Rattus norvegicus: one gene and its partners. The protein of the gene in region 2 interacts with the protein of the main gene of each other region in a pairwise test. Links are inferred from orthologs where the notes say so. Each region holds a gene or a part of one and is shown on either strand. Other genes may lie near its edges.

What was found.
Region 1: the proteins of Prpf31 (region 2) and Mkrn3 interact in binary tests that used the Homo sapiens proteins (3 or more experiments, as listed by UniProt). The two-hybrid records come from large-scale screens. The link is inferred for Rattus norvegicus from reciprocal best matches to the Homo sapiens genes PRPF31 and MKRN3.
Region 3: the proteins of Prpf31 (region 2) and Tada2a interact in binary tests that used the Homo sapiens proteins (3 or more experiments, as listed by UniProt). The two-hybrid records come from large-scale screens. The link is inferred for Rattus norvegicus from reciprocal best matches to the Homo sapiens genes PRPF31 and TADA2A.
Region 4: the proteins of Prpf31 (region 2) and Pnma2 interact in binary tests that used the Homo sapiens proteins (3 or more experiments, as listed by UniProt). The two-hybrid records come from large-scale screens. The link is inferred for Rattus norvegicus from reciprocal best matches to the Homo sapiens genes PRPF31 and PNMA2.
Region 5: the proteins of Prpf31 (region 2) and Lurap1 interact in binary tests that used the Homo sapiens proteins (3 or more experiments, as listed by UniProt). The two-hybrid records come from large-scale screens. The link is inferred for Rattus norvegicus from reciprocal best matches to the Homo sapiens genes PRPF31 and LURAP1.
Region 6: the proteins of Prpf31 (region 2) and Efemp2 interact in binary tests that used the Homo sapiens proteins (3 or more experiments, as listed by UniProt). The two-hybrid records come from large-scale screens. The link is inferred for Rattus norvegicus from reciprocal best matches to the Homo sapiens genes PRPF31 and EFEMP2.
Region 7: the proteins of Prpf31 (region 2) and Mtus2 interact in binary tests that used the Homo sapiens proteins (3 or more experiments, as listed by UniProt). The two-hybrid records come from large-scale screens. The link is inferred for Rattus norvegicus from reciprocal best matches to the Homo sapiens genes PRPF31 and MTUS2.

What each region holds. Positions count from the first base shown.
Region 1 is NC_086019.1:125,338,379-125,342,529, forward strand, and holds Mkrn3 (probable E3 ubiquitin-protein ligase makorin-3), read right to left. Parts: upstream 2,801-4,151; 5' UTR 2,689-2,800; coding exon 1,102-2,688; 3' UTR 286-1,101; downstream 1-285. UniProt on the Homo sapiens protein: E3 ubiquitin ligase catalyzing the covalent attachment of ubiquitin moieties onto substrate proteins.
Region 2 is NC_086019.1:74,496,423-74,499,922, reverse strand, and holds part of Prpf31 (U4/U6 small nuclear ribonucleoprotein Prp31), read left to right. Parts: intron 1-375; coding exon 376-473; intron 474-1,148; coding exon 1,149-1,255; intron 1,256-1,516; coding exon 1,517-1,686; intron 1,687-3,048; coding exon 3,049-3,206; intron 3,207-3,500. UniProt on the Homo sapiens protein: Involved in pre-mRNA splicing as component of the spliceosome. Required for the assembly of the U4/U5/U6 tri-snRNP complex, one of the building blocks of the spliceosome.
Region 3 is NC_086028.1:69,508,770-69,512,821, forward strand, and holds the start of Tada2a (transcriptional adapter 2-alpha), read right to left. Parts: upstream 2,801-4,052; 5' UTR 2,729-2,800; exon of another isoform or gene 2,680-2,728; intron 1,028-2,679; 5' UTR 939-1,027; coding exon 914-938; intron 1-913. UniProt on the Homo sapiens protein: Component of the ATAC complex, a complex with histone acetyltransferase activity on histones H3 and H4. Required for the function of some acidic activation domains, which activate transcription from a distant site. Binds double-stranded DNA.
Region 4 is NC_086033.1:45,293,060-45,295,639, forward strand, and holds the end of Pnma2 (paraneoplastic antigen Ma2), read left to right. Parts: coding exon 1-407; 3' UTR 408-2,080; downstream 2,081-2,580.
Region 5 is NC_086023.1:134,855,367-134,858,866, forward strand, and holds the end of Lurap1 (leucine rich adaptor protein 1), read right to left. Parts: intron 1,381-3,500; coding exon 859-1,380; 3' UTR 277-858; downstream 1-276. UniProt on the Homo sapiens protein: Acts as an activator of the canonical NF-kappa-B pathway and drive the production of pro-inflammatory cytokines. Promotes the antigen (Ag)-presenting and priming function of dendritic cells via the canonical NF-kappa-B pathway.
Region 6 is NC_086019.1:212,210,586-212,214,521, reverse strand, and holds the start of Efemp2 (EGF-containing fibulin-like extracellular matrix protein 2 isoform 1 precursor), read right to left. Parts: upstream 2,801-3,936; 5' UTR 2,704-2,800; exon of another isoform or gene 2,474-2,703; coding exon of another isoform or gene 2,408-2,473; coding exon 2,297-2,407; intron 2,067-2,296; coding exon 2,018-2,066; intron 1,379-2,017; coding exon 1,172-1,378; intron 1-1,171. UniProt on the Homo sapiens protein: Plays a crucial role in elastic fiber formation in tissue, and in the formation of ultrastructural connections between elastic laminae and smooth muscle cells in the aorta, therefore participates in terminal differentiation and maturation of smooth muscle cell (SMC) and in the mechanical properties and wall integrity maintenance of the aorta.
Region 7 is NC_086030.1:11,975,004-11,978,503, reverse strand, and holds part of Mtus2 (microtubule-associated tumor suppressor candidate 2), read left to right. Parts: intron 1-594; 5' UTR 595-815; coding exon 816-2,966; intron 2,967-3,500. UniProt on the Homo sapiens protein: Binds microtubules. Together with MAPRE1 may target the microtubule depolymerase KIF2C to the plus-end of microtubules. May regulate the dynamics of microtubules at their growing distal tip.

The DNA of each region.
Region 1 (4,151 bases), about 51 Mb from region 2:
TTATACCCTGTCTGACGTCAATACTTATTACTATTTTTTTCATAGTCACATAACTTTTATTTTGAAAACCTTTCCTTAAAAGTTCTTTGCTTATAAAATATACAATAACCAGATATTTAAGATATTAAAAACAAAGAAATGTATGTTTGAGTTCAGGAATTGTCACTGTGAAGACAAATGAGATGGTGACTTCGTGTGAGGCACTGTTTCATTATAGAGAAGCTGTTAATGTTATCATAGAAATTTTCAAAGTCATGTTTTGTAAATCCATTAAAAAGAGTCAGATACACACATAGCAGTCATTTTTATTAGATGCTAATCACTGACATCAGTGCAAGGGCAGGTAATTATCCACACAATTCACATACAGCCCATACACTTGGACTTTAACATTAGGCTTTCAGCTCTACATTTATTTCATTACTTCAAACATATATTACGATGTATATTTGTTTCCAGTTTTTTCAAATACATCTTTGTATACATATACGCATATATATCATTCTTAAATATATATTTCCAAATATAAATAATTTCACATCAAGCCAAACAGGATAAAAACATGTAAACATATGCACCTCATTTTGGTCAAGTAAAACAGAACCACAAAATAACCACAAGTTAACAAGTGCACTTGAAAGAGAAGAAACAAACATGTAAACAAACACAGACAGCAGCTGCAAGGTCCTGTAAGGGTCCATTTTTTTTTTAAGGCTATATAGCAAAAAGCTCATAATTCAGTTAAAGACTTTTGTCACCTTGTCACATTTACTCTTAAGGGACTTCACAATGAGAAACTGTAAACACTAGACTAGAAGTGATTGAATCCTGTTGGAAAAAGACATCACAAGTCATCAGCTGACAGAAATATTAATTCCACCAAACAATACTTATAAGATTTCTTGTTATTTTGTAACACGGAGAAACATCACAATCCTAGCGAGAAGAAATGGGAAATAGAGGAGAAAACAGCAATACTGCATAAAGATTGCCTCAACAGCCTTTGAAAGCGATAGGGTTTTTGAGTCAGTCGATAAAGGGGAATAAGCAACAGCAGACAACAGAGCCTTAGCAGACCAGACCACATGCCACAGCGTGATACTACAGATTCAAATTGAAATATTCTTCCAGCTGGTACTGAAGCAAGAGCCACCGGTCATCAGAGATGGAAAAACTGCCTCGCAGGCAAAGCAACTTCTTAAGCAACTGATTGGCCAGGCGAAGCACGGAATGCTCCTTTTTACGGCTTTTAAACAGCACGCTTCCCTCTCGCAACTGCACAGGCTCCAAAACTTGATGCCAGTATGCGCTGGACGATCCACCACCATCTGGCCTCGGAGGCTGATCTCTCCAGCCCTCGGGGTATTCATGCTTGTAAAAACAGAATTCTCCAAATGGGCAGTGACCTAGGCCTCCAGCAAAATACCTGCAGGCTTTCTGGCTCATCCCCTCCTTATATTGCTGAACAAGTTTCTCCTTCTCCTCTTCCTCCTCCACCCAGAACTCACTAGGAATGACAAAGCCAGAGGAGACCCTGCACTGTGGGCAGGACTTACTGATCCTGTTCTCAAACTGTGTGGCACTTCTCCACCTGCGGATACACTTAAGACAGTAGGTGTGGTTGCAGCTGAAAAGGATGCCAAAGCGGCGGTCGCTGGGGTCGGCCTTCTCATAGACAACCTCCATGCAGATGCCACACACTTTGTCCATGCTGCGCTGCACAGCAAAAGAGAGTTCCATATCTCTCTCGTGTGCTTCAACGCAGGCCCTTCTATGAGCTTCCTGCTGAGCTGCATCCCAAGGGTGCAGGGCCTGTTGCCCGCACATGTCGCATATTTCTCCATGGGGGTATGCACACCTGTCCCCACGGAGGCATTGTCCCCGAGCAGCATAGCGGCAAAGCGGCAGCGGCATTCCCATGCCCATAGCCATATGCTCTCTCTCAATCTCCGGGCTCTGCAGAGGAGCCTCGGGACCATGCGGGGGGATCATGCGACCTCGATACGGCTGTCCAGGAACAAACTCAATTGCCCCCTCCCAGCCTTCTGCACCCGCTCCTCCCGCAGCACCTGCTGCAAGGCCTGCATTGTCAATCTCAGCTTCAGGGAAGCCCCTTTCAGCAGCTGAGCCAATGCCTGCATTGTCAATCTCAGCTTCCGAGAAGCCCCTTTCAGCAGCCGAGCCAATCAGAGGCAAGGAGCTTGAGGATGCAGTAGGGGGGGCTTCCGCCACTTCCTGAGTCGGGGGCTCCCAGTGAGTGGCCATCTTGGGTCCTCTGTCTGCAGAGGCCCGAGGCTGAGAATCTTGGCCCCCCCTAGCTTTCCGCCGCCCAGAAAGGTCGTGAGAGTAGCGACAGTTATCGCCCTCCTTGCACTGCCCATGCAGATAATACCTGCAGAGGATTTGCTTCGTCCAGCTGCCTGTGTTGCGCTCCGGACCAGACCTGGCCCCGCCCCCTTCGGCTGGAGCGGGTCTCAAACTCGCCGCGCGCCGGTTCGCAGGGACTGGAGCCATAAGAAACGGTGCCAGGCCCGATGCCTCTTGCAGAGGGGCTGAGCTGGCTACCGCAGAAGCTCCAGAAGCCTCAAACTGAGGAGGGGGGGGGGCAGACACACCCTCCCCCCCCTCAGCACCTGCCTCGGCGCCGGCGGCCTCGTAGGCTTCCATGGGAGCTGTAGACTCTTCCATCACGCAGCGTGCCTCTAACACTGTCCAAAAACCCGAATATTATGTCTTTTTTGTGCTTGAATTGCGGAGCTGAAGATGGTCCGATCAGCTTCTTCTCGGAGAGAAGTGCATCAATTTTTGTCTTCCCACCTGCTCCCTGTTCCCTGAGAACTTTGGTTCCTACCTGCTTACAGGCAGCCGGACACTTCCGGTTGTAACACCATTTTCCGGTGCTTCACCGGAAGTTGCTTCCGCCATGTTTTTCCCGTACCGGTAACCGCTTAAGATATTGGAATCGGCTTCTGCCGGCTCTCTTAGAGCGATTCTGAACTCCCCAACCCCCGTTTCCACACTGTTTTCCTTGAAGGTTGATGTTTTAATCTCTCCAGGTTTCGGTTGTATACATTGCATTTTATTTTCGTTTTCAGTTAAGAAAACGCTACAATCCTTGCCTTTGCCATCGGCTGCTATTGACATTTATAGAACATTTCACTCATAAACATTAAAAAATATTTTTCGGTTCAATCTGTCTTTTGTTTATAGGTGACTACTTTTTAAATCGAAAAGGGGCCCCCCCGCCGAAGCATTTCTCCTTTGACGCTTATAGATCTGACACAATTTCTTTGGGTCTTTTTTCCTTGAAGGGTTAATTTGCGTGCACTTTAATTAGAAGGGAATCCTCTGCCCTGAGGCTAGTCAGACAGAGCCTTTCACTTTCCTGCCTTTGTTATATATCCCCACCCACCCCACAACAAAGTAGAAGCCTAGACTTTGTCTAGCCCTGATGAAGACTTAATAAGCCAAGGTCTGAGAGTGACCCAGGCTTTTAACTTTTTTCTGTTGGTTGGATTCGGAGACCCTTTGTTCCCTGCCTTCCTTTTCATCCCATTCTGCTCTCCCGAGCTTTTCATAATACAAGCTCTTCTTTGTGCACCAAAGTGTCTCATTTCCATTTCCACATTGAGCCGCAGTTTTGTTTTGTTTTGTTTTTTCGTTTTGCAGATATATACTATTGGACTAATAATTTCATATATAGTTCTACAATGCTACATCTACTTACTATAGTGTCATACTAAATTTTATAGTGTAGTTATTTGTGGGTTTTTATTTTTAGTAATAACCATGTTGTCTTATAATATTTAATATACTACTTTTTTCCAAAACTAAAATTATGCTTGCTAAAATAATTTTATTACAGGCAGTCTTACAAACTAAGGTTAAAAAAACTCTGAATGCTTTTGATATAATCATCCAACTCAAAATATTAAAATATTATTCTCCACTAAATAAAGCCAACAACAATAAAACAAGCTAAGAGGAACATTATCAAAGAATATAGATAAAAGAGGTGAAATGAAGCAAAAGTAAATATGAAATAAGGAAATAGAATAAGCGAAATTTTTCTTGTATAACTTATCAAGAAACATAATAAAAGGCTCAGAACTCCAGCATCACATACGTCAAAAGAACTGACACTAAGTAAC
Region 2 (3,500 bases):
AGGAAAGCAAGTCGAATCATCCTTTGACCCCCTTCAGCAGCCAGGCTCTGCACCTGTTCATGCTCTAGGATGATCGCTCACCTCCATATCCTTACCAGAAAATGTGGAGGGAAGATAGGGCATGGTTGTTTCCTTATGGCCATGATCTGGAAGTTGAAAAATGTCACTTTGGTTCATATTTTGTAGACCTTTGTAGAACAAACTTCCCCCTCCACATAGCATTGGGGACAGCTAGGAAATATATATTTCATGCTGGCATCCATGTCCCCACACATGATTTGGGGTTGGTTACTAAAGTGGTGGAAGTGGGTGTTGGGGATAGCAGCAGAGTCTGCCTCCCCCTCAGTGGACACCTACCCTCCATGTCCCATTTAGACATTATCCATAAGTTCATCCGGGATAAATACTCAAAGAGATTCCCTGAGCTAGAATCCTTGGTGCCCAACGCTCTGGATTACATCCGCACAGTCAAGGTGAGTGGAGAGGAGTCTGGCTTGGGAAGAACTGAGGCCACTAGACCAGGAAGCCTCAAGTCTAGAAATAACGGGGCTCAGTGGTGAGAGACAGATACTGGAATGGATGTGTCATACACATCCCTTGCTTCCCTCCTCCCCTTGGTTTTGTGGGAGGATAACCACTGACCTGGCCCTTACTTCTAGCTGCAGTTGGAGCAGGAGTCCTTTGATCTGGCAGAGGCCACAGCTGAATAAGAGCTAAGACCCTGAGTGGGAACAAGTAAGGATGAAGTCAGAAGGGGCAGGGAGGGAAGCTTAGAAAGGTCAGAGAACATTAGACGTAGAAGGTGTTGGCTTCTCTAGAAGTGATGGGAGCAGGTGGAGGTGAAAGAGCAGGGGTCCTGTCTCTGCCCAAGAGATCAGGATGGTGGCAGAAGAAGTCTTGTCTGTGGAAGAAAGTGCACTTTTGAAGGCCTCTTTAGTGCACATGTCTTCCTTGGAGGCTGCTCTGCCTAGGTTCTACTTCTGCATCAGCAGAGCAGAGTAGGCAGCACTGATGCTTTAGGCAGGGATGTTGTAAAACTGTAAAAGGCACGAGAAGTCTCCAGTATATGGACCTTAGCTTTTCCAACTTCCTCAAGGGGAGACCTGTGTTAGTGTTCCTAGAATTTCTTTTTCCCCTTCCTACCCCAGGAACTGGGCAACAGCCTGGATAAGTGTAAGAACAATGAGAATCTCCAGCAGATCCTGACCAATGCTACCATCATGGTTGTTAGTGTTACTGCCTCTACCACCCAGGGGTATGTATGCCATATGGTAAGGTGCAGCAAGCCTACAATAGGACAATTAACAAAAGAGAGAGAGGCAGAATGGGGGTCATGGTCAAGGTGGTGCTGACTGAGAATTATGACCCCTAGGCGGATGGAATTTTAGATAGTCCTAGAGCTACACAAACACACTTGCATACACAGCTGAGAGGGTGGGTGGGACTGAACACTAGTTAGAACTGTACCTAGCAAAACTGGGGTCTGTTCCCAACCCTTACCTGCCCCACAATGCAGGCAGCAGCTGTCAGATGAGGAACTAGAGCGACTAGAGGAGGCCTGTGACATGGCACTGGAGCTGAATGCCTCCAAGCACCGCATCTATGAGTACGTGGAGTCCCGGATGTCGTTCATTGCACCCAACTTGTCCATCATCATTGGAGCTTCCACGGCTGCCAAGATCATGGGTGAGGTCCCAGCTAGGTCCCTTTGGCTGAGGCTGCTGATAGGTTAGGTTGCCTTGGGGAAGTGGGGTTTGGCCTTAGCGCGATTGTATTGTCCCCTGAAGACTGAGATCAGCCAGCTTGGTATGTACACACGATAGAAGCATAGCAACTCCCTTCTAGGTTTAGCTGGCTGGCTGAATCAGGTTGCACAGATGGCAAGCCAACTTCTTCCTGCCAATAGGCCCATTTTAGACCCTGGAGCAGCCACAGAGTACTGATGTCAGCTCAAGCTTTCCTACTGGATAGGGCAGCAAACCCTGCCATGTGCTATGCTCTTTCTCCTGGAAGCTCCTGTAGCAGAGTCCTTTCCTTCCTTGCAGAGAGATGCTTGCAAAGGGAATATGGGAAAACTTACCATCTTTGCTCACTGAGCTTCAGGCTTGAGTCCCACAGGCCAAGATGCATATACTCCTGAGGCTACTGTTTCAGAGCTGGCAAGTCTGAGACCAAGTTGCTGTGAGACTTCTCCAGAGGCCTCTGCTTGGCTGTGTAGCCACACCACTTGTATCTGTATCCTTATCTCCTTTTCTTACAAGAATGCCAGTCAGATAGAGTCAGGATCCATATGACCTCATTTTACCTTAGTCATTTCCTTAAAGATTCTGTGTCCTGAGCTAGAAAGATGACTCAGCTGGTAAAAGAATTTGCTGCCCAGGCTTGACAACCTGAGAACCTGAGTGTGGTGATTCCCCCAAACCCACATACAAGAGGGGAGAGCTAAGTCCCATAAGTTTCTGATCTCCATGCACACACCCTACTTATACATATAAAATAATAAAAATAAAATCCCCCTCCCCACCAGAAAAGATCCCATGTCCTGCTGGATACAGTGACTTATACTAGTAACTGTTATTTGGAAGGCTGAGGCAGGAGGGTTGCTTTGAATTTGAGGCCAGCCTTGGCTACTGAGTGAAATACTTGATATCAAACCAGCCAACAAATGAAGGTGCAAAGTTGTCTTAGTCACTGTTCTCTTGCTGTGAAGACACAGCTGGGGGCTTACTTACACTTTTAGAATCTTAAGCCGTTATTATCATGGCAGGGAGCACAGCAGCAGGCAGGCATAGTGCTGGAGATATAGATGAACCACAAGCAGAGAGAGAGAGACATTGGACCTGGCGTGGACTTTTGAAACCTCAAAGCCCACCCCCAGTGACACACTTGTTTCAACAAGGCCATGCCTTCTGAACCTTCTAATCTATCAATGAGTTTTACTTTGTGGTGACTGTATGAGCCTATGAGGGACATTCTTACTTAATCCACAAAGGTATACATGAGTTCCTGGATGTAAACCCTGTGTTCTGACCTCACCTCTTTTTGCAGGTGTGGCTGGAGGGCTGACCAACCTGTCTAAGATGCCTGCCTGCAACATCATGCTGTTGGGAGCCCAGCGCAAGACACTGTCTGGCTTCTCTTCTACCTCAGTGCTGCCTCACACTGGCTACATCTACCACAGTGACATTGTGCAGTCTCTGCCCCCAGTGAGTACTTCACCTTGACCCCTAGCCCCAGCCACTAGGCCTTATCTGGCTTGGCTGGCAATAGCCCTCAGGCTCCTGGAGGATGAGGCAACATGGTTGGAAGAGCAAGGATACTATTCTGGGTCTGCCACTTGGCAATGAGGATGGTTGGGTGGCTGGAAACCAGGGGCAGCTAGAGCATACCCCTCAAGAGGCAGTTATTAGGAAAGCGCACAGGCATAAGGCCTACCTCCCAGAGTCTGGGGTATGGCTGGCCCTAGATGAGAAGTGATTATTGTAGTGGCTGTTACCTTT
Region 3 (4,052 bases), on a different chromosome or scaffold from region 2:
ACGGACAAATTGTCATCATTATTATTTGTGGGTTTTTTGTTTGCTGTTTTAGGCAGGATCTCATTAAGTAGTCCAGGGTTGTCTGGACTCATTATGTGGATCAGGCTGGCCTTGAACTCACAAAGATCTCTCTGCCTTTGCCTCCAGAGTGCTGGGATTAAAGGAATGTGCCATCGTGATAGGTTCTAACAATTGTTTTAAAGGATGGGATAGCGGGGAGAGGTAGTACCAGCCTTTAATCCCAGAGGCAGACACATTACCAAACAGAAGCTTGCCTGATCTACAAAGAGTTCCAGGATAGTCAACTCAGTTACACAGAGAAACCCTTTCTTGAAGGAAATGATGTGAGAGTTTTCCAATTTACACTTGCAACATTAGTAAAATGAAAATGTAGAACTGGATGTGTCTAAGGTTCTGCTGAACCTACAAAGGGAAAATGCAGAGTGCCTTTGAGAAAATGACAGGAAACAAGACCTAAAAGCACACTTCTGGTTCTTACTAACAAATACCTACTTTGTGACTGTACATGCCTGTATGTGCACTGCTCACTTTTATGATTTCTATTTCTATGAAATCCAATGATGATACAAGTCTGGAATCCCAGCACTTACTTGATGAACAAGTAGTTCAAGGCCATCCTTCGCTACAAAGCCAGTTCCAGGCCAGCCAATCTACACGAGAACTTGGGCTTAAAATAACATGTTTATTTATAGATCAATCATATGGGGCTAGTCCACTCAGCCTGGCTTTATTCTAAAGTGATGAAGCTGTGTTGCATATGTGATAATTATGTGATATTCATAATTCCTTCAGGCATTATCATTCAATTTCAAAGGCGTTGCTTCCCTGATCAACTTCTATTTTAGTTCGCTCGCTATTCATTATCACTAGAGACTTGTCCCACTGTACTTACTGCTAAAGGAACCCAAACGGTCCATCCTCTAGCTGACAGACTGCTGTGTGATCTTCCTTGATACAGAGCTTTGAGACTTCAGAAGTTGCCAAAGATTAACAATCCCACGGTCCCCTATGAACAAAGAGAAGACCCACACAGATCAGAAAACCATTCAAGGTTCATTTCACTCACAGAATTTAAAGTAATCCTCCTTACAAAATCTGGAACTTGCTGGTGTAGTGGTATGAACATTTAATCCTAACACCCAGGAAGCAGAAAAAAAATAGGTCTCTGAGTTCAAGACCAGCCTGGTCTACATGGAGAGTTCTGAACCAGCCAGGGCTACAGAGTGAGACCCTGTCTCAAAAAATTAATTTGAATTTTATTACTGGAAACTAAGGACTCCTACCGAACATATATTGATCAGTAATTTACTCATTCAAACAGAAGGTAGAAATAGGAGGAATTCAACGTCATCCCTGGCTATCTACTGCTTGAAACCCCAAACCTAAAACAAGCATGGCAGGCACACCTTTGATCCTAGCACTAAGGCACAAGCAGCCTAATCTACAGAGTGAGCTCCAGGAAGGCAGCGCTGGCTACACAGAGAAACCCTATCTTGGAGAAAAAAACAAACAGACCACATACACCAAAACAAAGCACTTAGCAACTTGGACAAATAAATGTTAGTCTTCTAAAAGGCTAATGCACCTTCATTTCTCCTGAAAGTTTTTTCACTTTGACATTTTTAGCTTGGGGACTGATACACAAAGTATATGTAATGCTTAGATAATAAGGTGGAGGGCCGATTTTTTTGGCTACTTTGGGTAGGGGTGAGTTTTTCCTCTATATAGTTCCAAGAAAACTGGGTCTTTGAAGAAGAATGTTGTGGACTCTGTAGCTCAACTATAGGGGGTTTAAGCATGAAGGATGCTTTGTATTCAAACTCCAGCATCCAATAAGCTTACACCTAGTACTCCAGAGGTACAAGCAAGAGGATCAGGAGTTCAAGGAAATTCTTGGCTACATTAAGTTCAAGGTTGGCCCAAGATACATGAGGCTGCCTAAAGAAATAAATTAATTAATTAAAAAAAATCAATTCAACAAAGGCATATTATATACCCAGGAATAAAATAACAGCCAACATCCATATGCCAGGTACTGAATGGAAGTATGTAGACTATATCTTGGAATCCTAACAATCTCCTGGCGCAGGCTAAACAGAAGCGCTAAAGATTGGGGTATTTGCATAATGTTTTTACAGCCTGCTGAACAGCAGGGCCCTATCAATAGACCCTTACACTGTCAAAGACACTACAATACGTTCTGACAAAAACACTTCACGTCGCAAAGCACAATGTTGCAGAAAGTAAAATCTTCCTTCCTCTCCTTCCTTAAAAGACCACGCAGTGACACTAACATCCTTGACAGACGGGCTTCCTTTAAATTAATTACCAGAAAGAGCAGGGAAGGGGGCGAGGGTCAGAACCCCATGAGGAAAACAGGGGAGTGAGTCGGGGGCTTGGCAATTGTGCAGACAGCATCCTTATAGCTGCACGGTCTTGGGCAAGTCATTGAACCGGGGCCTCGGCTCCAAAACGGTGCTAAACACTGGCTCGCGGAGACCCACGTGGGGGCTCGGCGGGTCAGGTGGGCCGGGGCCGCGCTCCACCGCCCAGCCCGAATACCAAGGTGCGGCAGCGCCAGCCGCGGGGGGGAGGGGCTCGGGACTCGCGGGCCGCATCAACCTCCCCCGCCGCGTGGCCCGCAGAGCCAGCCCGCACCTCGTGACCCCGAGTGCCTTCGCTCCCGCCGCTCGGCCCCGCGCCTCACCTCGCCACGTCCCGCACCTCGGCACCGAAGAGCCCGCCGCTGCGTGCGCTGTGCAGACTCTCTGCGTGCGCGCCACGGCCTACGTGCGCGGCCCCGAATCACGTGCGCGGTCCCGTACCACTCAGTCACGAGCACGCCGAGTCTGTCCCGCCTCCTCCAGTCCCGCGGCGGGCGGGTCCCGGTGGCGTCGCCCCGGGATGAGGAGCATGGTACCTGGCTACTTGTCGGTGGGCCCTGAACTCTGACCTGCTGTCACTTTCCCCGTCACCACTGGCGTCCCGGTGGCACGCGCTAAGGCGGCCTCGGCTGGTTCAGTCTGGATTTTTTCTTAACAGTCCCATTCCAGTTCTGTTGAAAGCAAGGAAACTGAGGCTGCCTAGGCACTGGTTGGAGAATGGCGAGCCCGAGCCGCGCTGTGCCACTCATGGATTACCTAGACTGAATGAATTGAGGGGTGAAGAGGGTCCTTTTTACTCTGATGCTTCTGGGACGTCGAAATTGCCTTCTCTGGAAAGACCCATCCCCTCTCTGGGCTTCAGAGGCCCACATGGAAGCGCAATGATGATGTGGTGGTCCACTCTGATGTCACTCTTGAGGGCTAGGTATGTCCCAACATCTCTTTCTACTACTAGTATAGATTCTTATAAGAGCTTCCATTTGTGGAGTCCGTCCTTACTGCATGCCAGGCATTGTACAAAGAGGGTTACACATAAGGGCTCGCCTAGATCAACTTTCTGAGGGAGTCGCTGTTACTGCCCTCACGGTCCAGCTGAGGAAATTTAGGCATTGAAATATATAACTTAGGATCACAGTGCTACCAAGCGTTGGGGAAGAGAGTCCAACCATGGCGGATCTTAACTATTATGTGTAATATCTTTTTAAAAATCTGTTTCGTAGATGTGTCCAATTTCTGTTGGAATTCATTTATATGCTATCTGCCTATGTGACCTCTTGATACGTTTTTTGGCATGCAGGTAATATAAATTCATTGTTAAAATAAAAAAAATTGCAGCTGGGTGTACTTAGTGACACATCTGTGATCTCAACACTTGGGAGAGTGCAGAACAGTTGCCTTGAGTTTGAGATCAATCTGGGCTACAGAGTGAGAAGTCTGTCTTTTTAAAAAAAAAAAAAAAAGAGTAGAAAAGAAAAAAACATTAATAATTCACATATGAAAGTCACCCCCCGCCACGTTAAGTAAACACTTAATGTAAATGTTCACATTTACTGAATCTCCAAATCCATTCATTTGACTCAGGTGCTGAGAGTTTGGTAGTGAGCAAAACATATTCTCTTGCATATGAGGTTCGTGTATTATATGTAA
Region 4 (2,580 bases), on a different chromosome or scaffold from region 2:
CAGAAGAATGTCTGGAGGCCTTTAAGCAGGTGTTTGGGAGCATGGAGAGCCGTAGAACCTCACAGGTCAAATACCTAAAAACCTATCAGCAAGAAGGAGAGAAAATCTCAGCCTATGTGCTCCGGCTGGAGACTCTGCTCCGGAGAGCTGTGGAAAAAAGGGCCATCCCCCGGAACATTGCTGACCAGGTACGTCTGGAGCAGGTCATGGCTGGAGCCAACCTTAGCAACGTTCTTTGGTGCAGGCTACGGGAGCTGAAGGATCAGGGCCCACTGCCCACGTTTTTGCAGCTGATGAAGGTGGTCCGTGAGGAGGAAGAAGAAGAGGCCTACTTTGAACACGAGAGCAGAGAGGAGCCAGGGGAAAGGGAGGGCTCTGGCCGCTGGGACAATTCAAGGAACAACTGACAGACATCCCTACTCCATTTCTGATCTGGTAATGCTTGACAAGGCTAATCCCATTCTAGTGCACTTTGCTTTAAAGTGCAGGACTGAAGTCAAGCATTAGGAATGAAGGTTTTGGGGTTTTTTGTTTTTCCTTTTTCTTTGGTTTTGATAGGTTCTCACCTTATAGCCCAGGCTGGCCTTGAACTGGTATTCTTCCTGCCTCAGCCTTCCAAGTTTGGAGTTCTGGGATTAGAGGAATATACTACCACTAGAGCTCCATCTTGTTTTTCTTTCTGAGGTAAAAAAAAAAAAAAAAACCTGGAGTTTGAGGGACTCTAACTAGATTGTTAAAAAAAAAAAAAAATACAAGACTAAGTTCCAATACCTAAAACTCCTGAATCTTAGTTTCCTACACAAGGGTTGGCCAGACAGCTTGGTTGGTCAAGTTGCTTGTCAGTCTCTTCAGACGGAGTGATAATGTGAACAGGAGATAGAAACTGGCCAGGCAGGGGCTGAAGAGCTACTCGTCAGCAACTAAACACACTTGCTACTCTTTTGAAGGGATCCCAGTACCCATGCGGTGGTTCCCAACTATCAATAACTCTTGTTTCAGGGGATTCAACCTCTTCTTCTGGTCTCTTTAAGCACTGCACACATGTGGCACATACACATACATGCAGACCAGACACATAAAATAAAAACAAAACCTTAGGAAGGAAAGAAACAGGCCGGGCAGTTTCTAGGCATTCCCAATGTATCCCTGGTTCTCTGGTCCTGTCCCCTTCCTAAGGGTTACACTTGAGGGTGGGACCTTTAGCCAGACACTAATCCATTTGTGGATAGCTGTAGAATTAGGTCCATAGATTTTTTCATGATAAAATGGCTTATATCTGTTCCCCAATTTTAGCCCATCTCCTAAATGATTTTAGGGTTACCTCATCAGAGGGGAGAATTTACAGTAGCCTTAGTCAGGGCTCTTCTGAATCTCATTCAGAGAAAACCGTTGCCTTCTGGTCAGAAGAATGGTCTAAGCAGAGACATACCATTGCAGGCTAACCACAGCATGAGTTAATCCAGTTGGACAGGTTCATCGCCTGGCTAGTGGACTGCCCATCAGGAAGGCAGATTCACCTTCTCTATGCTAATGAGATGGGAAGAATAACTATCCCTTTAATGAGGTCATATACTTTTCCTTCCCAGAATCCCTGCTATCTATACAGCCACTACAGAACCACCATGAAATGTCATTTTCACTTTTTCCTTTTCGTTTTCTGCTTTGGCACTGGCCCAGGTTTAAGTACACACTCTCTAGTATTCTGGGCTGTTTCTCTTTCTCCATGTGGCTACATGCTTACCTTCTACCTACTCAAAAACAGTGGCTTCTCTCTTCCTTTTCTCTATTCCTTCTTCCGGGCAGTTTTGATCCCCATAACCCATGGGGTAGAAGAAGAAAACCACTTCCTGCAAGCTGTCATTACACACCACACACACACACACACACACACACACACACACACACATACACACACACACATTCATGTAATTTTTTTTTTTTTTTTGGTTCTTTTTTTCGGAGCTGGGGACCGAACCCAGGGCCTTGCGCTTCCTAGGTAAGCGCTCTACCATTGAGCTAAATCCCCAGCCCCATGTAATTTTTTAAAACCACGCCAAGTAGACCAATGTTTACTCATACCACAGAAGGATAAACTGACCTTATTTAAAACAACAACAACAACTTACGTGAAACACATATATCCTGTGTGCAGCAATCTACTCGTTATAGGGTGTGTGTGTGTGCTTGCATGCATGTGTGTGTGTGTGGAGGAGGGGCAGTGCTTGTGACACACCTCACAACAAGAAAGAAGCAAAGCTCTACTGAGTTAAATGGTCTCAGCACCAAAAGTGCTCAGAAGTGATACCCGAACAAGACTTTAGGAATCCACCCTTCGTTGTGTGTCACTCCAGTGTGTTTTCTCAGTTCTGTAGAGGATTGATTTTTAGGCAAGTGTATTTTAAACTCCTTAAGTCTCGAACACCCAGCAGGCAGTATCAAGTGCGCTAGTATCAGGTCTCAGGATGTCAGTGTTCACCAGGCTTGCTTTTGTTTCCAGACTCACCCATGGCTGCAGAACAAAGCTGCCTGCTGGCAATGGTGTGCACATTCCAACCAGCCTGTGGCTGTGCACAGCCTTGA
Region 5 (3,500 bases), on a different chromosome or scaffold from region 2:
AGACCTAAAAAGGAAACTGAGACGCTGTGAGGGTACTCCGGCTGAACTCTGGCAGACAGATCTGGAGGCAAGAATCAGTGATGGGGCAGCCCAGAGCCAGACAAAAGTCTGCAGTAAAGTGAGCCAAGAGATTTGGGAGCCTAGGGTGGAGGCCTCTGAGTTTCTTACTCGACAAGAGTATCCTTACAGCCCTGGGCTGTAAGTGGAAGCCTTGAGAACAACATGAAAACACCATGTTTGAAAAGTAAGAACTTGAGAAAAGCAGCACACACATTTGCCAGGAAGAACGACATGTTCCTTCTCACAAGAGGCAGTGGCAGGGACTTTAAATGCCAAACCCACCAGGACTGGTATAGAGGAAGCACTCTTCATGTATCATGACAAGAAACGACATCACCCAGCAGGCATGAAAGGGTTGGTCTCCCAACTCCAAAGGTATCTAGGCGGACCAATCCTTGGGGGTTTGAGCATTTTGAAACAGGGTCAATTCTCCATTTTTTTGGTAAGAGGCATTCCTGGCTCCTAAGCTTTGATGAGATCTCTTCCTCAGTGATCTCCTAGAGGCCCTACATTCCATAAAACTCACCTCACTGGGGAGGGGAATGGAGATAGCCTTACATCAGGAGCCACAGGCTAGGCCTCTAGAGTCAATATCTCTATGGAGATAGCCTTAGGGACCTAATAATTGAGGGATAAATGCAGAGGCTCCCCAGGAACCAGAGAGATAAGCCAGGCTTCCATGGTAACTGATTGTAGTACAGCCTCCAGCCCCCGTCTAGTTGGAGGTGGAGAGAAAATTGAGGGAGACTTGGGCCAAAATTTGAAAGAGCCACAAAGTGCAAATGGGTAGGAAAGTTTTTACAAGAAGGTCACATCATCCTGGCACTGTCCCCAGTACCAATGAGCCTCAAAGCCCTGCTTAGCACTGTCATCTTCTGATGGCTCAGGTGGTCCACATTGGAGCCCGTCCCCTGGAAGTTTCCATGTAGCTGTTAGGCTCCCTAGCTTGGTGGATGTCATGTCCACCTCAGTCCTGGCCCTGTCCTCACTGGGTATAACCTTTGCCCAGTCAATCTCAGGACAGGAAGGCCCAGGGTGTCCTTGTTCATCCAGCTCTCTGGGGGCCACCGTGTCCAAGAAGCTGCCAATAGAGACACTGTCCAGCCGGTCAGTTGAACTGGTATCTGGCAGGCTGTCCCAACTGCCCCGCCTTGAGCGTTCTGGGCTTCCCCCTGTCAGACTATACTGACTGCTGGTGAGACTGCTGCAATGGCTGGTCAGTGTCCCCCGCTCCTCCAGCAGCCAGCGCACTGCCTCAATTCCCTCATTCAAGGTCACCAGCTGCTGCAGAATCTTCACATCGATGGCTCGCAGGTAAGCCTGAGGAAGTGAGAAAAGACATTAGTTCCCTTTCAGGCTATGAGTTTCCCAGGTGGTCCAGGCGGCTACACTTCACTTTTAAAAAAACACGGGAAGAGATACAGGCTTTAGAGCAAAGAGACCCCTGTTTAAATTTTCAGATGGATCTAGGCTGGAGATACAGCTCAGTGGAGATCGACTTGCCTCCTTAGCATGTGTGAAATCCTGGGTTCCATGACTTGCACCAAACAAAAAGACAACTTTCCAACCAGGCAGTGGTGGCGCATGCCTTTAATCCCAGCACTTGGAGGCAGAGGCAGGTGGATCTCTGAGTTTGGGGCCAGCCTGGTCTACAGAGCTTAAGAGAAGTCACAGCTCAAAAACAAAACAAAACAAACAACCCCCCCCCAAAAAACAACAAAACAACTTCCCTATTGATTAGCTGCATGATTCTAAGTAGCTATCATATTTTCTTTGAGCCTCAGTTTCCTTGATTAAAAAACAAGGCTAAATCATTCACTTTGTAGCCTGGGAACAAGGATTTTAAATGCTATCAGGTATGCACTTTCTACAGCAGGGTCTTTGTAGACATTAAATATTAAAATATGAGGGTGGGGGATGTGGCTCAGTGGAGGAACACTTGCCTAGCATTCACTAAGCCCTGAGTTCTATCCCTAGCACTGGATAAACTAATGTAGTGATGCACACTTGTAATCCAGGCACTCAACTGGAAAGAAGGAGATCAGAAGTTCAAGGCTATTCTCAGCTACACTGGCAGTTCAAAACCAGCCGGAGGTTCATGAGACCCTGTTTCAAAATTAATGAAATAAAATAATAAAATAAAATGAGGGCTTTTTTAAAAAAAATATGGCTCATGCATATAACTTCAGCACTCAAAAAGCTGAGGAGAAACACTTGGAAGGCAGAGGCAAGAAGATTTCTGTGAGTTCCCGGCCAGCCTAGTCTACAAAGTGAGTTATAGGTCAGGGAAGACTATAACTGTCTTAGAAATCAAACAAGCAAACAGAAAAAGAGGCTGAGAAGGAGTGAAGAGTTTGAGGCCAGGGGCTTAGGAGATGGCTCATCAGTTAAGTGTTTGATACTCCTGATGAGGACTGGAGTTTGGTTCCTGCCGTGAGAATTTTGGTTTCTTTAAAAAGCAGATCTAGGGGCCTAAAGAGATGGCTCAGCGGTTAAGAGCACAGACTGCTTTTCTAGGGATCACGAGTTCAAATCCCAGCAACCACATCATGGTGGCTCACAACCATCTGTAATGGGATCCAATGCCCTCTTCTGGTGTGTCTGAAGACAGCTACAGTGGACTCATATAAATAAATAAATCTAAACAACTACAACAACAAGAAAAAAAAACAGAACTAGGAATGTTTTTATTTTAGTCCCAGGTGTGCTATATGGGGCTGCTTCACACGATTGCTTACAGCAGCTGACTGTGATTTGCCTTGTGCTCTAGCAGGGGTGTGATCTTGCCAGCTGCAGACAGTTGCGATTGTGTGACATCCAGAACTTTTCAGAGGGTGTATAAATGCTAGAGCCCCAGTAGGTAGATTGCTGGTTGTTGTTACCACTTATTCAGTAGTTATGTGCAAAGAAGAAAGAAGAAGAAATGTGATATCCTGGCCAGGGAAGACCAAACTTGGCCCAAGGAACTCAGTGTCCCTAATCAGGAAGAAATAGTTGAACCATATTGTTGTCCCCTTTCCTTTTTATCCTTTTTTCCCTATCTAGTGTTAGGGAGTTGAAAGGGTGGGAAACGATGGAGAAGGGTGGAAGAAAGAAAAATCCACAAAGTAGCAAAACACCAGTAACAAATTCCAGTGTCCACATGGTGTGGTTCACAACCTCCTATAACTACAGCTCCATAAAAAAAATCCAATCCCCTTTTATGATCTTGACAGGCACGTGCACACACACATACACAAACACACATACATATAAATAAAAATAATTTAAAAATTTTTTATTTTTTTTAATAATTTAAAAATTAAAACTTTAAAGGAGTTCGAAGCTAGTGTGAGACCTCTTAAAAAATTAATAAGGGGTTGGGGATTTAGTTCAGTGGTAGAGCGCTTACCTAGCAAGTGCAAGGCCCTGGGTTCGGTCCTCAGCTCCAAAAAAAAAAA
Region 6 (3,936 bases), about 140 Mb from region 2:
CGTGTGAGGAGGGGGCCCATGCACATGGGTAGTTGGCATCAAATCATGAACATTTAATTGAGATCATCCCAATAGTCCAAAAAAGAGTCCACCAAGGAATTACCAGGAAAAGTACCCATTAGGAGAACATACTAAAATAGGGTCTTGTGGGAACTGGTGGCACACACCTTCAATTCCACCACTGCGGGGGAAGAGAGGCAAGAGGACCTCTGTGAGTGCCAAGCTAGTTGTAGCTAGGGCTACAGAGTGAGACACTGTCTTAAAAATAAATACATAAGTAAACAGACAAATAAAGCCCTGTCCATTTATACCCCGCAGCTGACTGCAGGGCCAGGATCTCTCCTCCTCCCAGACCTGACTCCAGATCAAAAAGCTGGCAGAGGCTGGGAGCAGAGCTCTCACATGTCTGTCCAGGAACTGAGGCTGCTAGGGACATCCTGGGCCTGCAGACCATGCACTGAGCCTGCAGTAGATGAAAACTTGGATATTTCTCTGAGCAGCCAGACGGAAGGAGCATGAGGTCTGGGGTATTAAATAGGGAAAATTACTTTATTATTTTGTTAATTAATTGTTTTGAGGTAAGATCTCGGGCAGCCTCAGGTGGTCCTCAAAAGTTCTTACGCAGCTGAGGATAACCTGTACTTTCGGATCTTTTTGCTCTCTCCCCACTGGTGGGTTACAGGTGTGCGCTACCACACTTGTTTTTTGTGTTTTTTTTGTGGTGCCAGGAATCAAATCCAGAAACGATCTCAAAACCCAAAGTACATAGCTGGATGGTGGGGTACAGAGGCAGGTGGATCTCTGAGTCTGAGTTCTAGGATGGCCAAGGCTACACAGAGAAACCCTCTCTCAAAAATCAAAAACAAAGAAACAAACTAAGGAGGACTAAAATAACTCTACTGGAGGATTAAAAGAAACAAGAATGATATATGCCGAGATGGCACCATGATAAAACACATTACTTTGAACAGTAAATACAAAGTTAGTGTTTTTTTCTATTCTTTTTTTTTTTTTTTTTTTTTTTTGGAAGCTGGGGATCGAACCCAGGGCCTTGAGCTTGCTAGGCAAGCGCTCTACACTGAGCCAAATCCCCAACCCCCAAAGTTAGTTTTTTTTAAAAAAAGTTTATAAAAGGCCTGGAAGCCTAGGTGCCAGCATGGCCCCCACTTACCCACACAGCTCTCCTGTTCATCAGGTTCATAGCCCGGAGGGCAAGGATTTGGGTGTTGAGCAGAGGCTGCTGGTGGTGGAGGTCCTTCACTGTGGAGATCACTGATGACGGCAGCAGAGCGAGGCAGACACAAATAGCCCCCGTAGTGGTTGATGCATTTCATTTCACCCTTGCAAGCCTCGGGGATGGTCAGGCACTCATTGACATCTGCAGAGAGGGGCCTGCTGGGCACAGCCAGTCACCTGGGCTGGCCCTGGAGGTAGTGGGAGGCAGAAGCCCAACTTGGCCTTCTCTAAACTGAGCAACACAGCAAGGCTTTCTCTCTGCTCAGCAAAGGCTGCCGACCCAGAACCCCTCCCAGGCATTTGCAGGACTGGGTGTGTGGCCCCCTATTTCACACTGTTACCCCCATTCTCCTGCCTCCATGTGAGTTTCCGTTTCTCTTCAAATCCCTGCCTCTACCTTTGCCCAAGAGTAATTTGCAGGCCTCCTGACCCACAGAGCTTGTACTGCCCTCCCAGGGTGCACTGGGATAGAGCTGGGCTGGGAGAGTGCAGTGCAGTTCAGGGAAGGTGTACGTATTTCCTTCTTTCTGGGCAATAGCCAGGTGCTCTCTTGCCTCCTGCAGGACAGAGGCAGAGTTTGTTCACCCTCTTGAAGGGGTAGGGCTCCTAATTGAGTGGCACAAGAGAAGCATGGCTGCCTACCAGATGGCTGGCTACCAGGGTGGACAGTGGGAAGGCCATCAAGTTCCTGCTGCAGCTCTGGGAGATAAGGTGTCCCTGGGAAACAGAAGTAATCCCCTTCCCAGTTCCTGAAGATGGCTAGTACCCCAGACATACTCACCCCGGCAATGCTGGCTGTCTGCATCCCACTCATAGCCATCTGTGCATTCCTGGAAGGGAACCCGATGTGGCCAGTGACCACCCTGGCTGTCTCCTCCAACTAGCCAGGCCAAGACCAGGGCTTGAGCTCAGTCATGCTCAGGTCAGCTCCACACAATGGCCTCCAGCTTTCCACCAACCAAGCAGGGGAGAATCATTCCCAGAAGCAGCCTCCCCAGGATCCTGCCTCACTCGCTGTCCTTCCCATCCCATCCCAAGCTGGTGACCCCAAGGTCCCCACCGTGTAGCTGTCCGGCTCTTCGGAATCCTGTGGGGACGCTGCTCCCAAGAGCAACAGCAGAAACGCCCAGAGCAGTAAAGACCCGGGGAGGCAGGAGGCAAATGGGAGCATCCTGGGGCTGAGAGGGGGTGGGCAGAAGTCAGGGGTTTCTGCCACGACACCCCCCATTCCCTCCATCTGGAAGGGGAGGCTGGGTCCCAGCTATCTCGTCCCAGGACTGTTCTGGGAGCACCGAAACCTTCCAGGGCTGGGGACCGAGTCCCTTCGCAGGCCTGGGGCTCAGGGCCGCAATCTTGGACCGCCCCGCCCCCGCCCCACGAGTCATGAAGCGCAGGCCTCTCCGCTCCGCGCAGCATATACTCGGCCGCAACACGGCCCGCGCCCTCCCTCCGCTGGAGGCCACTCACGCGTTGACTCCAGCAGTGCCTGCGGGCGGACGGACGGACCGCGCAGCTCACTGGACGCGCGGCCCCAGGAAGCGCCCCCCGCCCGCCCGCCGCGGCCCACCCCGGCGCCTCCGCCCGCCCTTCGGCGGATTCCTGAGCCCGCGCCAGGGGGAGGGACCCCGACCCCCCGGCTTCTCCGCCCCGGCCGGCCACAGGCCCCCACCCGGTCCCCCGCGGCGCTGCCTGGAGTCGCCTGTGGACGCCTAGTCAGTTTCCCAATGTTTGGGTCCTTAGACCATTGACCTTGATGCTTGGCACCCAAACTCACCTGGGGACCCCAGGCCCTCACTCAAAATGATTATTCTGTCCACCTAAACCCTATCTAACCTGTGCCTCCGGAATCCCTCTGTGCACTCGCACCTCCGTGTAACCGGATTCTGCGCTTCCCAGAACCTAACAAACATTTATTTAATCCTCAGATCTCCAAATGCTACCACTTTCAGGATTTTATCCAGTGTTACACTCTTAGATGGTCCTAAAACTTCATCCAAGGTTTCCTGATCCTCGTCCAGGCATACAATTAATTGTCCAATTCCCTCTGTATCCACCTCCACCACCCCCAGGTGGTCTCTTTACTCAGGGCACTGCTTCCCCAAGCCCTGCCTGCGCAACGCTACAATAGTATGGGGGCGAGGGCAGCAGTAGTCTTGGCCCGAAATGAATGGAAGCCCCTGAGAAGGCGGGCAAGCTTGAACTTGGTCGCGGAGGACACTAGGGCCCAGTGCCAGCCCTTTCCCGACCCTCTTCCCATCCAAGTCCCCCACCCAGTTTCCGCCTCCGCCCCCAGCGGAGATCATGCCTTGGAGGCGGAGTCTGGGTGCCTCTGGCGCCCAGGAAGGGGTAAATGGGCGGGACTTCGCGTTGCCCACGTCTCAGGGCGGGTCTAGACGGGAAAGGGTTGCGTGTCCAGGGCTCCCGTGCTTGGCCCAGACCGCTAGCGGCAATAACCCGGCCTTCCTTCCTTCCTTTCCCTTTCCCAACCTCTTTCCATCTTTTTTTGTTTGTTTTTGTTTTGTCTTTTTGCGACAGAGTCTCAAACTGTAGCTCTGACTGTTCTGAAACTCACTAAGTAGATGAGGCTTCGAACTCACAAAGATCTGCCTGTCTCTGCCTCCTAGGTTCTGGGATGAAAGGCGTGCACTACCATGTTCCGCTCTGCTGTGACGGAAATAAAAATTCTGCTTCATTTCATTT
Region 7 (3,500 bases), on a different chromosome or scaffold from region 2:
GTTTTATCACACAGCTAAAACCTGTACCTTGTTTGAAACCAATGGATTGTTTCTGGAACTTTTCATCTGATATTCTTAGAGCATGGCAAACTCTGGACAACAAATCAGAAAGTAAATTGTCAGTGAAGAGAGGAGACACCACACACACACACACACACACACACACACACCATACTACACATAGCACATGTGCTCACATACACCACAGTACACACACACACACACACACATATATATCACACTACACATACACCAGACACCACACACATACACACACAAATACACCACACACACCACACACATACATACTACACTATACATAAACTACACACACATACAGAGACACAACCACACACACAATTCTAAGACAGCATACATGTAAGACCCCTTATATCTCACTCTAAAATGTATCCTTGTGATGTCTCAGCTTGGATATTTAGTCAGATAAGCCTTTATTTGAAACGATTTTGAAATAAGCACATGACATAACAGGATAGAAGAAAGGGTCACATCTATGTGATTGCTGCCTGTGTCTTTTGCTCAAGATTATTGCTGTCTTCACTCTAAAGCACACACGTTTTGGTTTCTTTCCAGGTCTCCTGAACCCACTGGTTTGCACTGAACAGCAATGGAGCATGAAGAGTTGTCCTACTGTGTGTCAAGACAGTGGTTGGTTCTGAAACTCATCTGAAGAGGTTCAAAGAATCTTCTAGATGTGACATTGTCAGAGGAGGACAGAGAAGGTGACAGCTGCCTGTTGCCCTGCAGCTTGAAGGGAGGCCGCATGGCCAGCAGCCCTCATTGAAGACGTGACCATGAGTGTCCCACTCGCGCCAAAGAAATCCTGTTTCAGTCAGTTGCGAGATCACCGAGAAGGAGCAAAAAATAATAACGACAATATTCTGAGGACGGGGGATACAAATGCCAATCAAATCATGTTGGAGGTTAGCGCCTCTTGCGATGAGCCCAAGTCACGTGATCTGGATGATGAGATCGGAAATGCAAATTTAAGCAGGCCACAATACCACGGCCACTTCCAAAAGGAGCCTCTTCACCTTCAGGGCCTCGGGAAAGGGTCTCAGGCTGGCTCTGCCAGCCAGAGGGATTCTCAGTCTTCTCTGACTGTTCATAGGCAACTGAGTGAGGAGCACACAGTAAAAAGAGGTACCCTGCAGACCCCCCAGAGTATTCAGGGACCAAGTTTCTCCAGCTGGAGGAACGCAGTGGGTCAAGCCAGTCCAGAGGTTTCTGCTGAGATTCCCAGGCACACTCCCAAGGACAAATTGGCAAAGACTCTTGACAACGAAGAGCTGAAGCGAGCAAGCAGGTCAGCAGCTGCAGCTGGTGGCATCACTCCAACGACGAACCCACAGCCAGCGCAGCCGGACATCTCGGAGCCTCAGGGTCACGTGCCTGGGCATGGGGAGGGGCCACAAGGGACACCAGCCAGTCACTCTCCAGGGAAAGTTTTTTCTCCAGGTGACGGAACCTCAGAGGGGAACGGTGTGTCTCTTCCTAAACCATCTACCTCAGAAGCCAAGGGCTCCAGCCCATCAGACACCAAGGTGGAGGGGACACGTGGCCCAGATGTTCACAACCAGTGCACCGCTCGTGCAGAACTGACTCCCAGTCTAGCTTCAGCACTGAGGGAAAACCCCAGCCTCTGTCATCCAGAAGTGTATTTAGGTCAAGGAACAGGGAAGCCCAAAGTGGAGCTCAAATATATCCAACCCAGGAATGAGGAGGGACTAACATCAGCCCAGGCCCAAGCTCTGGTATGTCGTGAGGAAAGAAGCACGTCACCTGTAGACAGGAAGGAGCTACTTGAGAAGGAATACCGAGAAGCCACCGGTCAACTGAACAGCAGCCAGCACCAGCTTGGAGTGGGACGAGGCGGCAGCCAGGAAGACGGGATTGGAGTCAGTGCTGGTGTGGAGGGGTCTCTGCAAGCCACCCCTGCACCGAGCGCCGCTCCCGCGGGAGAGGCAGGGACTGGACTCACCGGGAAAGCGTCAGCAGGTGCGGGTAGGATGGCGAGGGAAACAGCATCCGGCAAAGCTGCACCTGATGACGGACAAGTAACTCCTGTTCTCCGTGATCCAAATGAGAGCGCGCCCTCCGAGGTCAGTGGGGAGGAGAGGAGGCTGGGTAGCGGGAACTCGGGCAGTGCCAAACTGTTGGCCTCAGGTCCTTTTGTGGGTGGGAACAGAACCGACGCCTCCGAGCTCTTGAGCCCTCGAAGTAGCAGCTTGGAAGCCAGGAAAAGCAAAGAGACGGTAACATCTGTAGCTGAAGATAAGAACCTTCCAGAAAATGCGGCCCAAACTGACGTCACTCCGGCTGGAGTAGATTCCGTGTTCAGTACCCCGGCTCCCCTCCACCCAGAGACAACTGTGAACTTGACTGAGTACCTGACTCCTCCAAGTAGCAGTTCTCAGGAGCTCGGAGTGTTCAGTGTGGACACAGGGTCACTCTCAGTGGCCTCAGCCCCCACTGGTGGTGGGCAGGTACTGAACACATCGCCGAAAGTGCCTGACAAGACCACCTGCCCCAGTGGAATCCCCAAGTCTCTTACGCACCCCAAGGACACGCCCTCCTCCCAGGAAGCACTGGAGAAACCGGAGACAGAGAAAACAGAAGAAAGGACAGAGGCAAAGCCCATCCTCATGCCCAAACCCAAACATGTGAGGCCCAAGATCATCACTTACATACGCAGGAACCCCCAGGCGCTGAGTCAGGGAGATGCTTCCCTTGTCCCAGTAGGGCTTCCGTATGCCCCTCCTGCATGTGGTATGCCTCTTCCCCAAGAAGAGAAGGCGTCGAGCCTTCAGCCGCCTGCAAATATGTACGAGAAACTGAAGCCTGACTTGCAGAAGCCAAGGGTCTTCCCTTCCGGATTGATGGTGTCTGGGATCAAGCCCCCAGCGCACCATTTCAGTCAGATGAGCGAGAAGTTCCTGCAGGAGGTAAGCCGACATCATTGTAAAATGATGTATCCATTTGTGGTTTTCTTTAGGTCTGTTGTTTTTGTTTTGTTTTAAGTGAAACTTGGAAACAAAATGTCTTCTGTAAGTGAACTGCAGACGCTCAGGGATACACTGCTACCGAAGGGTGTACTTAGGCCTGGGAGTGACTACTTAGAACACAGAGTGATAGTCAGGTTGGGATCGTCCCAAGATCTAAGGTGGCTCATTCAAGTTTTACTGAGAACGAGAGACACTTGGAATTAGACAAGGGCTCATTTAAGTCAGCTTCCACCTTTAATAAAGAAGTAGCGATGTATGGGCCAGGTCAAAGCAAGGAAAAAGCTGAAGTAAACAGTATTCAAATCCTTTCGAGTGGAGCGGTTGACTCTGGAGAAAGTCTTGTGGTGAGCTGCGAGCGGTGGCACACGCCTGGGATCCTAGCATTCATGAGGTTAGGAAAGAAAGAGTCCCAGGCCAGCCTGGGCAACTGAGTGTAACTCTGTGTCAGAAAATACAATAGAATATAGCTCGAAT